2 linked regions of the Oreochromis niloticus genome follow. The protein of the gene in region 1 interacts with the protein of each later gene in a pairwise test. Links are inferred from orthologs where the notes say so. Each region holds a gene or a part of one and is shown on either strand. Other genes may lie near its edges.

Region 1 (7,475 bases):
TGTTAAAGGCATCTAGATCTAAATCCATGGAGGAGTCCAGGGAAGCCAGGAGATCTTCAGGGGAGCTGGGAGACTCATCAGAGGAGCAGGATCCAATGAAAGACTCCAGGTCAAATTCACTCAGGTCGATTTTCTCTGACATCCAGTCCATGCCGGCAAAAGCATCATCTGCTGACAGATATTATTCATTAATACTCGCAATAAACATTAAGAAATTTGGATGATTATTCTTACAGTGAATCATTTCTATGCAATACTCCATACAGCTAATTATTTGTTAAATACCAGGGTTGTGAATTGTACTGCATCAATTTTTACAGCATATTTAAAAAGCCGTATGACAATATCAACACTGTGGGTTATATTCATGTTACTACATATCACAGAAAAAGCAATGCACGGATGTAAATTACTGATGTGGTTACACGGTGGAAGCTGCTATTTAAAATCTTGACCCAAGATACAATATCCAAAAATATTACGATAGCTGCTGGCTGCAAGCATCAACAAAACATCAAGTGTTTATTTTTTTTTATATTGTCAGAAACATCACAAATTTCCTTGAACTATTGCGATGATGTTTTGAGACTTTATAACCCAACCCTATTCAACACATGACCTCAGGCACATATTTGATCTCTCCCTCGATTATGTGTCTGACGTTTACAAATACTCAAGTGAGACTAAATCCACAAAACAAGGAACTTCAACTGATGCCAGGAAGCACAAAGGGATAAATGTGTTATTGCACAATGACGTCTAACAAAACCAGTTTGAGCCGGTCTTTGCGGCACAACTCTGAGCCACACCCGCCACTCAAACCAATAAAAGTTTGTTGCCCTACAAACATCCAGGTTGCTCACCCACGGCCTTAACGTCAGCCCTCAGCCTGCAGGCAAACCTCAAATACTTAACTGACAGTGGGCCTCTCCTCTGAAATATTCACAGCACAACAAATGCTCCCAACTTTATAGTCTAATGAGAGCGGAAGATGTAGTTTGGTCCTAAACATACTCCAATTAGTAACCTTCCATCATTTCTTTTATTTGGTTTCTATTCAGTTCAACAACTTGTCAAATTATTTGCTTTTGAAAAATAATTGTTAAAATTTAGGACTTGCCCCCTGCTCATTAAACATGTATTTTAAGGCACTCACCTTTGCCATCATCTGCTCCAACATGGGCGTCGAGCAGGTCGCCGGCACCCAGCCAGGAGAGGGACAGCGAGTCCGCTCCGGCCTTGGTTCCCAGGAACGAGGAACAATGAGTGGGAGGAGGAGAGGGAGATGGGGAGGCCAAAGACAGCGGGGAGAAAGACATGGTCTGATAAGGGGACGAGGAGGATGGATAAGTGGACAAAGAAAGGGAGGGCGAAGCTGGCGCCTTCCCCTCTAGGGAGGAGGGAGAAAGAGCTTCTTCTTCATCTTGGTCCAGAAGGGGCCCCATGGGGTCAGCCATCAGAAAGGAGGGCCCTGAGAACAAAAGATCAGCCCGTCAACTTCTAATTTGGGGCATCCAATACATACAAATCTGTCATTCATCCAATAACTCACTAAAACATCTAACCCATCTACAGATAATGCCATGCTGACCATATGAAACTGTACTTCATTGGCTTTAGTATTGTTGGGAATGGTATTACCATTACCAAATGTTATGCAAACAAAGCGCCACATTCAGCAATGTTTGTACTAGTGCTTTGGCAATGTGTGTCATCACAACACACACCTAAGTACAGGGCCTCCACGTCCTCCAGGGCTAGCTGGGAGAGAGTCATGGCTGCTGCTGGTCAGTGGTAGCCGTGAAAAGGTGTACAAGAACAATGGTGAGTCGAGAGGTCCACGTATGCTGTCGACGGCAGCAAAGCTGAGGGTGGTTGCCGGGAGAGACCTGGTTGGAGGGAAGAAAACAGAAATCATGTTAATGAGAGAAAAATGAGGAATATAAGCAAATGTTAGTGTTGATTCATATGGAAACTAAAATGAAGTGACACATTTTATTGTCAGAAGTTGTGAAATGATATATTCAAACTTTATGAAAATCTGATGTCTGGCAGGGCCAAGTTTATTTGTAAATGCAAAGTTTCCCCAGTGCAGGTGTACTTCCTGAAACAAGCACATTTTTGACTGACAACCCTTGTGCAGACAATGTAGGCTTCTCTGGTAGTATGTACTAGGGTCATTAAAAGGAGTTGACATCCCTGTCATGGGGGAGGGGGGTGTCTAATTTTGGCTAATCCGTTCCCCTTGAGCGTCAAAGCTGTATTGATGGGAAACTCCGCCCTCCACCGGGGGGGATAACTTTGCCTAATTTGGTCATGCTTTAGCTGGTAACTCCACCCACGCCTATGAGTCATGGCGGAGATGTGGGAGGGCAAACCGCCATTTTCACAACAGAGCCATCTGCGCGAGGCGGGGAACGAGCTAAAAACCCACAGCGCGCGCCATTTTGGACGCCACGTTGCCAATGTGAAACGTATACAAAACACTAAAAATGTTTTTAGTACCACACTGACAACCGTGTCGCAGCCACTGAAGAAAATTAAAAATTAAAATGAGAAGTCTAAAATGTTTTCAGTGCCCAATCGACGGCTCGTTAGCATGATTCACAACACAAAGTAAGGCGCCGGCTCGGACTACTTCAGCTGGTATACTGTAATTTGACACCCTAGCTCTAAACAAGGAACTATGACTCAAAACACACTTAGCAAGTTTTTTTCACAAAAACAAATAGCCTTGATCAACAAGTTTAATAGCCAGTGACACATTCTAGTTGACAGATTAGTTACTACAAGAAGTGGCTATAATTTTTTTCTCTTTAGAAGACTGCAAAAATGTCGATAAAAAATTACTTACGCCATTTTGCCAGAAAAAGCCAGTGCACGTAGCCGTTGCACTGCCGGTTTGTTGCCGCTGCAAGGTTAGCTGCCGCACGCCTCTACACTGCCATTTTGGCCCGCTACAGCTTCTACGCGTAATGTGTGTTTACTTCAGGAGCTGTACGAACGAAGAACAGGTCGAGCCGTCGCGTGGGGGGTTATATATGGCCGAAGTACTGCTGCGTATATCGCTCCGCACCCAGCGCGAGGGCGTTTGTTCACTGTGAAACCAGCAGCGCGAGTGGGAGGTCTTCACAACAGTCAACAAAAGCGTGGCCACTCGACCATGCTGGTTAACTTAAACAAACGAACATTTTTTGCGAGTGGGATCCCTCCGCCCGACTGATGTTTGTAACTGGTTGGATGAATCGCATCAAAGTAGATCCACATGGATGCTGTGACGTAAAATATAGGTCAAATCCAGAATGTAAACATTGAGACGAGGCAGTATTTTATGGGCCTGGAGCTGTTTTATTGTTTGTAACAAAACCTTTCAAATCGCATTTTTGCCATAATATTCATTGTACTGGAGCGCAGGTGTCTATTGTTTTAACAGGTCGACGGTTAATTTAGATCACAGCGTGCCCCATTTTATATTTTATTCACATACAGACGGACATGATTCACTGCTCATGTCTAACAAATGTAGGGTCACACCCTTGTCATTTTAAGCAGTCTTTCTCTGGTCGAACAAGCCTGGTGACTATTATTTGGACTGAACAAGACTGTGCAGACTACAGAGCGAGGCCCACTTCATACATTTCATCATAATTATTTTGTTTCCACCCTACATGATGGTTTAATGTGGCTGGAATAATTTTGTAAAGGGAAAATATCATTTTAGATGACTGTCAAAGTAGTCAGTGAGGTAAATAAAATGCTGATTGTAGCTCAAATGCACTGTTTCTTTTTTCAAACCAAAGATGGTGTTGAAGCCAAATATTAGAGCAGCCCCCTAAAACCCAAAATTGGTGTCTGAATAAAATCTTCAGTTTTGTTTCTAGATACACTTGTTAGAGCCAGCCATGGTGTAATAAACAAGGAATGATAATAAGGCAAACATAGATAAAACAACCTCCATCCATAGTTGAAATAGGGGTGAAAGATCCCGATATAAGCTGCAGGACAGCGGATCTGAAAGTACACCTGGGTCTGGTTTGTGGTTCTCCAAAAACAGTTTCTCTTTCCAAGTTTTTGTTGTCGTTTTTATGTCACTGAGATTTTACCCCCACGATAGGTGAAGGATGTGAGACTGGTATCAGGAAGTAAAAGAGACCATTTCTGATCATGGCTATTTTTAACTATTCATGTTATGAGGGAGCCTTAACTATGCTGTTGCAAGGGATTCAATAAGACACTATTGGTTCTGAAGGTGAAATTAATTTGGACCCAAACTCTTTTTTTTTCAAGTGACAAATTTTTCACAACTCAAAGAAAATGATAATGATAGAGTGGAAATGTAAAAAAGTTTATAGCATAACTAGGTTAATCAGTCAAAAATTGAATGATAGAATGATAGGCAGAAATATTTGATTATACACTGAGAAAGGGTTTGACTGCATTTCTGTAAATTATCATATGGTTTGTATGACACACAGTCAGGTCTGGTGCCTGAGTAACTTTATGGAGAAGTAACATTTAAAATGTTTCATTTTAAGCTTCCAGTTAACAACCACTCACATTTTTGTGTAAATTGTTTTTAAATGCGACATGTATAACTATACCACATATAAAGTCAAGCTAGGAATGATAAAAGTCTATGTATTTTAAAAATGTGTACTCAGCATCAGCTGAAACTTTTTAAAAGAAGGACTACACTGCCCCCTGGTGGATTTTGTCGATCTTTAATCGGTTTATTTAGTAGTCTTTTTAAAAAACATGTCATTCGATTGCGTTTAACCCTAGAACACTATCGCTATAAATAGTAACACAATCACTAATGCCGGGTGATTTTTACCCGATATAATATAACCAATAAAAAGTAATCAAATATATCAAAATATGACAACACATGACAAATTAGAGTGGTCTTCTTTTACTTTCAACTGTGCCATGTCTAACAAAATGAAAAAAAAAAACAACCCTCCTAAAACAAAATAATGACTCTGGAAAGCTGGTCTTTGGTCCACCCATTCCTGGGAAATTTGAGACTTCCCTGGTGAAGGCACAGGCTCCTCGACACACAAACAGCTGCAGGAGAGAGAAATCATGTAAATGTATTTGCTCGGGTGTAAATCACCCAGCGATAGTGTTCTAGGGTTAACAATGCGTTTGCATAACACCTTATCTTAAGGTGTTAACTCATCTTAATAGGTGAAAACAGCTAAATTAAGGGAGGTTAACACAATCTCAGTTTTATACAGCATTAATAACCATAAACCATTTAAAAGAAACTGCTTGAAGTTACAATTCCTAAAGTTGCACTAAAAGTTTTGTTCTGTTTTCGAACCTGTTGCCAAAGAGGAAATATATGTTGATCAATAAACTTTCGTAAAACTGAAAATTAACATTAAAAGACAACCCCCAAACAAAAGATATTCAGGTGGAGAAAAATACCCTCCTAACAATACTTCTCAAACAGTTCTTTCATTTCGATGAACTCATCCAGTCGTTCCTGGAGATCCACCGCCAAGGAGCGGAGTTTCTTTGCCAACTTTGACTCAAAGCCCTTCTTCACCTTGGTTCCATCTTTTCCTTTGATGAAGTACATATCCATGCCGAGGGCAAAGCCTTCTATCATCCCAGATGGCTTGGAGTTTGCCTCCAAGACCTTGGCACATGGCCCTCCTTGACCAAAGAACTCCAGCACCTTGGAGGCCCTCTCTGACTTCACCTTGGTCCTCTCAAGCATGATGACACCATACTGCCTCAGCTGCTCTATGCCCTCATGGACATAAACCAGTTTCTCCTGAATGCCCTTACTGAGTGACTCGTAGTCAGTAAAGATCTTTTCAATTTTCTTCTGGTCCTGGTTGCAGTTCACCTGGAAAAACATGCTTCACAATCAGTTCAATACTAGAAATTCAGATAACTAGAGTGGGTAGTTTCCAGTTAGTACCCTTTTTTAAAAATTGTGATAACATAAAAACAGGGCTTTTGATCTCAGGAGAGTTATTACTGTAAAAGAAGACATTCAGCATTTTAGATTGAAGTCCTGGAACTCCAAATTAACAAAAGAACAAAAACAAAAGTGAACCAGAATAGATTTAAAAATGTATTTTCTCTTAAAAAGTTAGGAAAACCTATCAACCTACAAAAACCATGAACAAAGATGTTTTAAGGCGGTGCCTTAAAGACCATCACCTTATTTGCGATGGCTGCTGATGCACCAGTAACACCGCCGGCTGCAGCCACGCCGACCCCGACAGCAGTTAGTGCCAGCTGGATCTTTTTACTCACGTATTGACTTTTCGTAGGAGTTTGACAGACTCTCAGCATCCTAATTAAAGAGAAATGATTTAAAGTGTCTAAAACATGACAAAACAATCACCTAATATCAATTTAATGCTGTATTTATTTTAAGTAATTACCAGGGATTCATTTTCATCATCAAGCTGCATTTGATGGGGTTTAGGAGGCAGTGGAGGGCGTTCACCTTCATCCTTAAAACACTGATCCAGCATCTTAGAAAAAGAGAAACAATCCACGTTTGTTAGATGAACCTTAAACACGTTAATCCTGTTTGAACAGTGCACATATTTTATGTGTTATCTCACATGACAGAGAGTTTGATCAGAGACACCAGTTTCAGATTCTATGAATGCACTTCAACTGCTTTCAGATAAACTACATTTCTGTGACACATTAAAAGCATTCATTGTGTGAGTAGATGCTGAAAGAAAAAAAAAACACACTAGATATAGACCAGTGGTACCTTCATTTTTTCCACAAAAACTTCATTTCCTGTTGAACTCTTTCTAACAGTCCACTTCTTTGGTGGGACTGGTGGTGGACTCGAGCAGATGTCCTGAGTTTAAAATAGAAACAAACAAACAAAAAAAAACAAAACAATCCACCAAATAATTAAAAATGATTAGAATGCAACCATATATGTTTATATATAGCCACTGCTTAAATTTCTGAGCGTGTAGGCAACTTAACCCAAACCTCTCCAGATTTCGTGGGAGACAGGGGAGCACATTTTCCTGGCTCATCAGTCTTAGGACTGATTGGAAGGGAAATGTGTTTTCTTGGCAGGGGAGTCGGATGTGGTAAGGGAGTTGGAACCTTTGGCTGGAGAAAAGAGGGAGTATAATTGAAGGTGGTCATTGAAGATAGTTATGTAACACAGAAGAAGTTTATCAGAGTAGAACTGTGGTCTACAATTTCAATGGCCCCCTCCCTGAACGTATACTTTTAGAGACCATGAGTGCATGTTCATGATACAACATTGAGTCAAATCTAGTGATCTATATATTTTTACAGCGAAATTTGCCTCAAGATTTCTAAGGAACTACAAATCTCAACACATTATATTTCAAGTCAGAGTCAGCTTGCAGAGCTGAAATTCAAGACAACCAAACTGTTAATCAACCTGGTCAGGCCCGCCAAACAAGGCTGCTTGCATCTCTGAAGCTAACATGCCCATTGTGGACTGC
Region 2 (7,981 bases), on another chromosome or scaffold:
GATCTTTGTATCCATTTTGTCCACTTTATTTAGCAGAGCATCAATGGAGTCGTCCTGCCCATCAATTTCAGACTGCAGACCAAGTCCAAGATTCTTCAGTCTACCCAAGCCTACACACATCTCATCTAAGACATTCACAAAAGACATCAGTTCAATTACAGCAGACAAACTTTATATAAAAACATGTTATGTAACTAAATAAGTGCAGCATTTCCCTACCTAAATTTTTGTCAAGAGTCTGGTGAGCCTCCTTCAGGTATATGTTCTTAGGGTATCCATTCTGTTGAGATGAGCCATCATCTATTGATGCAGTAGCTCCAAATCCTAAAACAATGAAATAAGAAATAGTGAGAGCCAGTAAGTGGTGGGAAGATAGCGTAATGTTGAGGTTCTTGTTCCAACACTTACCTCCCGTATCCAGTTTTCTTAGGTTGGGGTGGCTAGCTTGGTACTTATCTTCATTTTCTCTGCTGCTGGCCAAGGCAGTCTGTAATCTGAGAAAGTCAGATAAGAATTGTTCAAACATTTAGGGAGAGACGGTCAATAACAAGTTGTACGCATGAAAGTAAAAAACAAAAATGAATTACCTGAACTTCTAAAAGAAGTTAACATTACTTTAACACAAATTCAGAGTAACTGTTTTAATGCTTTGTTGTAAAATATGATAACTTGCCCCTACACATAACAGCATATCAAACTTTAATATATTGAAACTCCTCTATATCACAGAACTCTTTGATTTGTTAAGGAGTTAAAACATGCAGAAATTAAAACTGGATGATGCTACCACACCTCACTGACACAGAGAATAAAAACAAACTTACCTTTCACTGGCCTTGTAGCCCTTTGGCTGCTCAGGTGGTGGCTTTGTCTCTGGCGTTCCCTTAAAATAATTGACAAGGCCGCCCCACACACTCTTAATACTGTTAATGTGCCTTTGACTGGTCTTCAGGTCTTGATCCATGTTATCCAGCATCTTGTCTGTCCTCTTTATAGCCTCACCCTGTCGCATCAGCTCCTGTAGACAAGAAGGGACTAATTCAGGATGAGGTATGGGAAGACGGGGCCTTTAAAAATAACTCTTTGTTGATTGTCGCCTTTTCAAAGACAGTGTCAATTCTTTGTACAGTAGTGTGAACCTTATTCATTTAAGATACCTCTGCAGTTTCCACACCCATCTTCTCTGATTCATAGATGAGGGAAAGTGAGCGGTAACTGCTATCCACAGCAGACTGCGCTGTACGCATCACTTCCTGCTGGAGACATCTCTGCCTCCTCTCTGCTTCACTCAACCCGCTGTCACTTGGCTCGTCGTCAAACCCCCTACTTTTAGGCTTGAAATCCTCCTCCTCGTCATCATCTGCAAACGGGTTGTGGGATTTAGGGTAGGCCATCTGTGGAGCAAAAACGAATGTTTTGGTAATTTTAGCTAAAGGACTATAAGCCTTTCAACTGTATCACATGATCATCAAGTTACATGTTTTTGTTACCTGTAAATAATGGATTTTAGATTGCTTAAAACTAAAACAACTTCTTGGAACACAATAAAACTATAAACAGGTTAATAAAAGATTAGATATTTGGTTCCAGTCTTGATGATCTTTGGCTTTTTTCAGCTGCTCCCTTTATGGGTTCCCTAAACAGATTATCTGCCACAATCTGACCCTCTCCCTGGCATCCTCTTCTGCCACATAAACCCTCTGCATGTCCTCCTTCGCTATATCCATGAATCTTCTCTGTGGTCTTCTTGTTTTTCCTCTTGCCTGTCAGCTTCATCTTTAACATGCTTTGTCCAATGGATCTAATATCCCTCCTCTGCACATATCCAAACCATCTCAACCACGCCTCTTAAACGTTGTCTCCCAAGACTTGATAATCTTTTAAATTCACTTATTCACTGATTAAATCCTTCAAACAGTCTGAGTGTTGTTTATTGTGACTTCAACTAATTTCGCAAAAGCAACAGTTGTCTCAAGGTGCTTTACATTGAAAGGTAAAGCCTATAATAGCAGAGAGATAACCCAAATTATCCCCTCTGTGTAAGCAGAGGGGATCCCCTCCGTGTAAGCAGAGGGGATCCCCTCCTCTCCCCTGCCCTCAACTTTTACTGGAAGAGACCTCCGGCAGAACCAGGCTCAGTTAAGCACAGGCATCTGCACACATATCTAGCCATTCCATCCATTTTCTTCTGGTTATCCAATTCAGGGTCATGCGTTAGACTGGAACCCATCTCACGAGTCATAGGGAGAAATGCAGAGCTAACACACAGGACACTGCTCCTGCTTTTTAAGCCAGCTTTCGAAGCTAATTGTTTTGGTAATATTTTGATTACCAAGTAGTTTTAAGTCCACTCTTTGGCACAACATGTTGAATTCCATGAACTGAATAAGCGGAGGAAAATGGATAGATCGATGGATAGATCGCACCTCGTCGGGAAGAAAAGTTATGTACTATATTTTGGGATCGGATAGCTGAATACCGGTAATTAAACGATGCGTAACATAATACATCTGCTATTTAGATAATAATTAGTTTCATTACAACAATAAGTTTTTGTTGATAAAAGAAGGTTAATTGTTCATTTCGAAACTTGTCTGAACTCGTGCGATTACGAAAGCTCCAGCGTGTTAGCTTCGGCTAACTTCAACGTTGTCCAACAAGTAATTCGAGCAACAGTTAGGCTTGTCAACATATTTCACATTAATCATCTGCAACAATACCTGCTGTGTTATATTAAGAGGAGAAAAATAAAACAGTATTGCAAGTCAAGAAATGTTTGATGTATCGCCGGGGTGTTGGTTTGCTAGTCAACTGTTAGCTTAACTGCCAGTCAACTAAAACGACCACATCCGCAAGCGTCACCACAGGCAATTTTCTCTTATTGAACAAATGCTGTCTAAAACGAAAGTGTAAAAAAAAAAAAAAAAAGACACAAAAAAGAACGATTAACTTAACAGACGAACCTTTGACCACAGGAGCCGTGGCAGACGCTGTTGTTGCTCTATCAGCTGACTGAACTCTTCCTATCGCGTTTGATGACGTTGCACACACACTGTCGCGACAGCTGATCTTGCGTAAAGGAAACGCACACCACGGCGATATTGGGGTTACTTACTGATAAAAACCCACGCAGGTTGTAATGTAAATAATATAAATACAATCCATACATTTGCTTAATTTGATCTATTTCAAGCCCTTTGTGAGTGAGTTGCTACGGTAACGAAGAGCCCCTGTTAGAAATGTCCCTGCTGAGTTGCCGTACTGCGGCTTTCCCAGGCAGCCCCGCTCGCTTGTTTCCTCTCAGCGATGAATTGCGCTGGTTTAATGTAGGGGTAAACATGTCCGTAATGGGAGGTGGTACGAGGGGGTTTTATTTTAATACAGTCCTGTCGCTGGCCCGCTCATTGGCCGCACACCGCCCCGCACCGGTCGAAAAGGTGAGAAAACAAGCTTGAGCTCCAAAAACACGCAATAATTAACCATGTTAGTAATTAGAAGCAGTGGCAGGGTTGTTCAGGGTGTAGCTGCGCTTCCGCACAGGCGGTGGCTTATTTTGATCAACGACATGACAACCAAGCTAACATTTAACAGTTATGTTTGTATGTTTGTGTGCGCGACTCCGTGGTTAGAAATCTCTAAAACGCGAGCCGTGGTGTCCAAAACCCTGAAGCAGAAAAGTGGGCAGTGCAGAGGAAAGTGGCGTTGCTGTGTGGTGCCTGTTACTGCATCGGACGGACAGAGCGGTCAAGCTTGATCGGCACTGCAGTCAAACAGGTTTACAGAGAAATGTTTGAGACAGGAGTTCATTCACAGGCTGCTCTGTTTGTCTTTACTGCTATCAAAATCCGCCTACATGTGTTATATAGTTGGAAACCTGTTGCAGATTGATAGTTGGGTCTTGCCAATATAGGAAAGGTTTTTAAAAAAACAAAACAAAACACAATGGGTACATTTTGTAAATGAAAGTAAAGGGTATTAGAGGGGAACATATGAAGCCATTATCAATAAGCTGTCACCAAGTGTTGTAACTTTAAGGGCTATTATGGGTTATGTTATGTAATTCCCAGTTCTACTGTGTGTTTGAGCTGTAGGGAGGAAACTGCCTAGCAGTTTATCTGATATCATAAATGCATGTATCTTAATATCTCTGGCTTGCTGGGTTACACAGTGTGCATAAAAGTGTACAGATTCCAGATGTCATCGGGTAGATGATCAGGTGACCCTGAGCCATCCCTTAGTTAAGCTGTAATAGGGCAAGGTGCTGGAGGCTTCTCATGATGCACCATGTTTCTTCTTCTTTTTCTTTTCACTGTCCCTGTGTTTATATCTCACTTTACTTTTAACCCTTAGTTATTATTAAGCCCTGGCTCTCTTCCACAGTGTCTTATGTCCTGTTTCCCACCCCCCACCCCCAAGCTGTCTTGGCAGATGGCTGCCCTTCCCAGAGTCTGGTTTTCCTTGAGGTTTATTTTTGTTAAAAGGGAGTTTTTCCTAGCTGCTTTCGCCAAGTGCTTGCTCATAAGGGAGGGTTGTCTGATTGTTGGGGATTTCTCTCTATTAGTGTTGTTGAATTTAATTGAACAGTGCAAGTCTTAACAAATATTACTTTCATTTGAACATACACTCACTCTGAAACATCTGGAAGTTTGCTTCCACAACTGAAAAAAAGTATTTTGCTATCTGTAATTCAAAACTTTTGGTAATTATCTCAAAACTTTTACTTAGTAACTCATACTTATTAGAAAATGACTTGAAATTTCAAGTTATTAAGGGTAATACTTGAGAAAATAACCCCCAAATTTTGACTTATGGATGGTAACACATGCTTGTTTTTCAGTAGCAGAAACAAGCTTCTATACAAACAGTTTTTAACACTTGACATATTGTCTAATGCTGTAGTGTTATGTTTTCATATGCTGTGTGACACAAACACACTGGGCTGTCAAGTGAGATAAATCAGCTTAATGTGTGAATATTACCAGCCTGGACTGTTACTTTAATATTCTTTTTTGGCCTTTTAGGTCCAGAAGCTGCAATGTATGTGTCCAGTGGAAGTCCGTGGTGTGTTCACTCTGGATGTGCGTCGCAGAGATGCTGTTATTGCACTGGCTGTGTTTTTGGTGGAATCTGGCTTACAGGTGGGTGGTTGTCAGTAAAAGGCTGAGGAGTGTTTTGAATACAGTATTTTCATTTTACTTCAAGCTGTTATGGTAATACAGTAGATTTAAGATTTCATAGTTTAGGTCATTAGATAGTGAAGTATTGGCATTGCATATTGACACAATACCAATTTTCTATTTTCCTAACTGCTTATCAAACTCTGTTTCACAGGTATAGTAATTGTAATATTGTATTAGAACTATTAGTCCACGTTTGCTCCTGCGCTCTCCTCGGACTCTACATGTATCCCTGTGATAAGCTTATTCTCATAATCTGATTAAGCTGGCGATTAGACATGCAGTTAGCCGTGTAAGCCGCTAACCTCATCACACTTAGACACAGTTGGGAAAGCTTCCTTTCTGTCTGACAGCATAGTGCTGGATGCCTTACTTTTATTTTTAAAGCTGTGATACACTTTCTTTGACCCAGATTTGCTTGTGTGAGATAACCTCGTTGTTTTGATCCGTCAGTGCTTGTCAGGCATGCAAAAGTGCTGATTTTATGCTGCCGAGTCCACTTGTTTGTGGTGTGTAATGATTTGTTTTACTCCTGCAGCACAAAGACATACTTGTTTCTTACTTGCTGAGCCTACTGAGAGGGCTGCCACGGGTCCAATGGATCGAAGAAAGCTCAGGAAAGAAAGGAAAGGGTAAGAAGAATCCTCTTATAGTGAGGCTTTTAGTTTTACAATAGACTCCTTTTACTTGTGGCAGTAGAATTTCTAGCAATTCTTATTAATTAATTGTACTGTATTGAGATGTATTACACTGGACAGATGGGTTAATTTATACTTGAATTGCATATTGTGAACTGCTGCTTCTGTTCCACTTAATGCTGTGTTGCTCTGTATCTGATGTTTACATTTTTGGCAAATCTGCTTATCATTATTTCTTTTCTTTTGTTCAACCTTATGAGGCATTCAATTCAACTGTATCTGTGTAACTTTCTGCTCCTCAGAATTTCTCCCTGTAGCAGAAAACTTCAGCTTCTGTCTAGTGACTCTTCTGTCAGATGTGGCTCAGAGGGATCCAGACTCAAGACAAGAGGTCTGTTTAAAAAGTGGTGATAAATCGTTATATTATTCTCAGGGTTGGGGTGCATTGCATTGAAGTGCTAACTCACTGTTTTTGCACTGTTTTCCCTATAGATCTTAAACACTATAATGGAGGTCATGCAGGCGTTACAGGATATGTGCCAAACACCGGATAATCATGACAAAGGTATAGATAGAAATGCAACAAACATTCTGACTTTTGCTTTTAAAACAAAAAAAAGAACCTTAACGCTGCTCTTTTTTGTCTGCAGTCTTCCTGTGCAAGTATATTGTTCCCAGCCTGCTTGGCATGACTCGGGCATTTGGCCGCTACAGCCACACAGATGAAGCTCTGTTATCCAAGTTGTTCCCCAAAGATTCTCCTCAGGCACGATGCGTTACAGAGGAAACAGAGGGTGTACGGCGCAGATCCTTCAATGACTTTCGTTCTATTCTACCGTCCTCACTGCTTACAGTGTGCCAGAGTGATACTCTGCGCAGACGCACCGGGACCAACCTAGATTCATCTGCACAGGTCGGTACATGTTGCCGGATTCAAGACGTGTTTTGCTTGTTCAGGATAATTAGGGGAGAATCCAGAGCAATAATAGTTTTATTTGCTTTGTTAATTTATATTATTCAATGATGTTGGTATGTTTCGTTACCCATTAAAGTTGTGTAATGTGCTTTCAAACAGATCAGTACAGATCCAGGAGGCCACTCACCCTGCTCTCCTACAACTCCTAGTCCACATTACTTGGAAGGTAAAACTGAAGAAACAGAAGTTACTTTAAAAATAATTGTGTCTTAGTTTTTAGTTTGACTCTATAGTCTGGTAATTCAGCTCAGCTTGTTATTATCAGCTGTCTGTCAGCATTATGTAACAACTGGGCACTTTGTTTTAGGTTTGTTAGGGTGAACTGCAATATCCCCCATACTGTAACATTGTAATAAGCCTGACAGTAAAAACGTTGTAACTGTGGTTAGACTTTTTTGTTTGGGTTCATGCTGAGTTTTATAGCTGCTACGTTATGCCAGATTGATACTAAGGCCTTTAATTGCTTTATGCCCGAAGTGGTATTTCCAATCCCCTATTACCCTATAAAATTGGAAATACCAATTCATGCTGTTGTTTGTGGTCAGATTTAGAGTTTTGTGACATTTGCTGTATTTCCACAGATTTCCTGTTAACTATGCTAGCATTCCAAACTCCTTTAGAGAATGTGTTTTTTTTTTGTTTTTTTTTTATTGTCTGGGACAGACTCAAAAAGTGTTTTATCTCAGTAATTCTGCACTTATAATCTGCTGTATTACAAGCCCTAATCTGTTACACAGAAAGGTTTAATTGTTGCTATGGAATGTAAATTCAGTAGAATTATGTGTAACAAAAAAACCCCTATTTTACAAAATGAACTATTTCTATATTATTGAAATAGTACCCGCTGAGATCTAATGGTCATATTTCATCCTACTTGTTTTTGTTAATAATTCTTCTGCTCCCACTGATTTCAGGTGCCTATTTTCCAGACAGCAACACAGTCGACCCTGACTACTATTTCTCTACAGTCAGCTCCAGTTTCTCGGTATCTCCACTCTTCCTGGGGGAAGGAGAAAATGAGGTGGAGGTGCCTGCGGATCTGCTCCGACAGCTCCTTGCCATGGTGCAGTAGCCTACTACCCATACACCGTTTACAGCTCTTTAAATCTTTTACCGTTGCTTCTCATCCAGTTTATGTATCTTGAGCCTTTACAGTAGTTGTGTGCAATGTTGGCTTGCAGGTGAAGAAG

What was found.
Region 2: the proteins of atf4a (region 1) and snap29 interact in a two-hybrid assay, tested with the Homo sapiens proteins (2 studies listed by BioGRID and IntAct). The link is inferred for Oreochromis niloticus from reciprocal best matches to the Homo sapiens genes ATF4 and SNAP29.

What each region holds. Positions count from the first base shown.
Region 1 is NC_031971.2:9,245,020-9,252,494, reverse strand, and holds the start of atf4a (cyclic AMP-dependent transcription factor ATF-4), read right to left. Parts: upstream 3,037-7,475; 5' UTR 2,855-3,036; intron 1,890-2,854; 5' UTR 1,777-1,889; coding exon 1,728-1,776; intron 1,472-1,727; coding exon 1,157-1,471; intron 172-1,156; coding exon 1-171. Other genes in the region: uncharacterized protein LOC106097202, read right to left, coding at 5,438-5,860, 6,181-6,316, 6,408-6,478. UniProt on the Homo sapiens protein: Transcription factor that binds the cAMP response element (CRE) (consensus: 5'-GTGACGT[AC][AG]-3') and displays two biological functions, as regulator of metabolic and redox processes under normal cellular conditions, and as master transcription factor during integrated stress response (ISR).
Region 2 is NC_031977.2:26,077,473-26,085,453, forward strand, and holds the start of snap29 (synaptosomal-associated protein 29), read right to left. Parts: upstream 3,103-7,981; 5' UTR 2,964-3,102; intron 2,883-2,963; exon of another isoform or gene 2,721-2,882; intron 1,395-2,720; coding exon 1,158-1,394; intron 1,019-1,157; coding exon 825-1,018; intron 495-824; coding exon 409-494; intron 325-408; coding exon 220-324; intron 126-219; coding exon 1-125. Other genes in the region: pi4kab (phosphatidylinositol 4-kinase, catalytic, alpha b), read left to right, coding at 3,240-3,437, 5,022-5,138, 5,716-5,809, 6,118-6,206, 6,308-6,380, 6,466-6,728, 6,891-6,957, 7,706-7,854 and 1 more. UniProt on the Homo sapiens protein: SNAREs, soluble N-ethylmaleimide-sensitive factor-attachment protein receptors, are essential proteins for fusion of cellular membranes.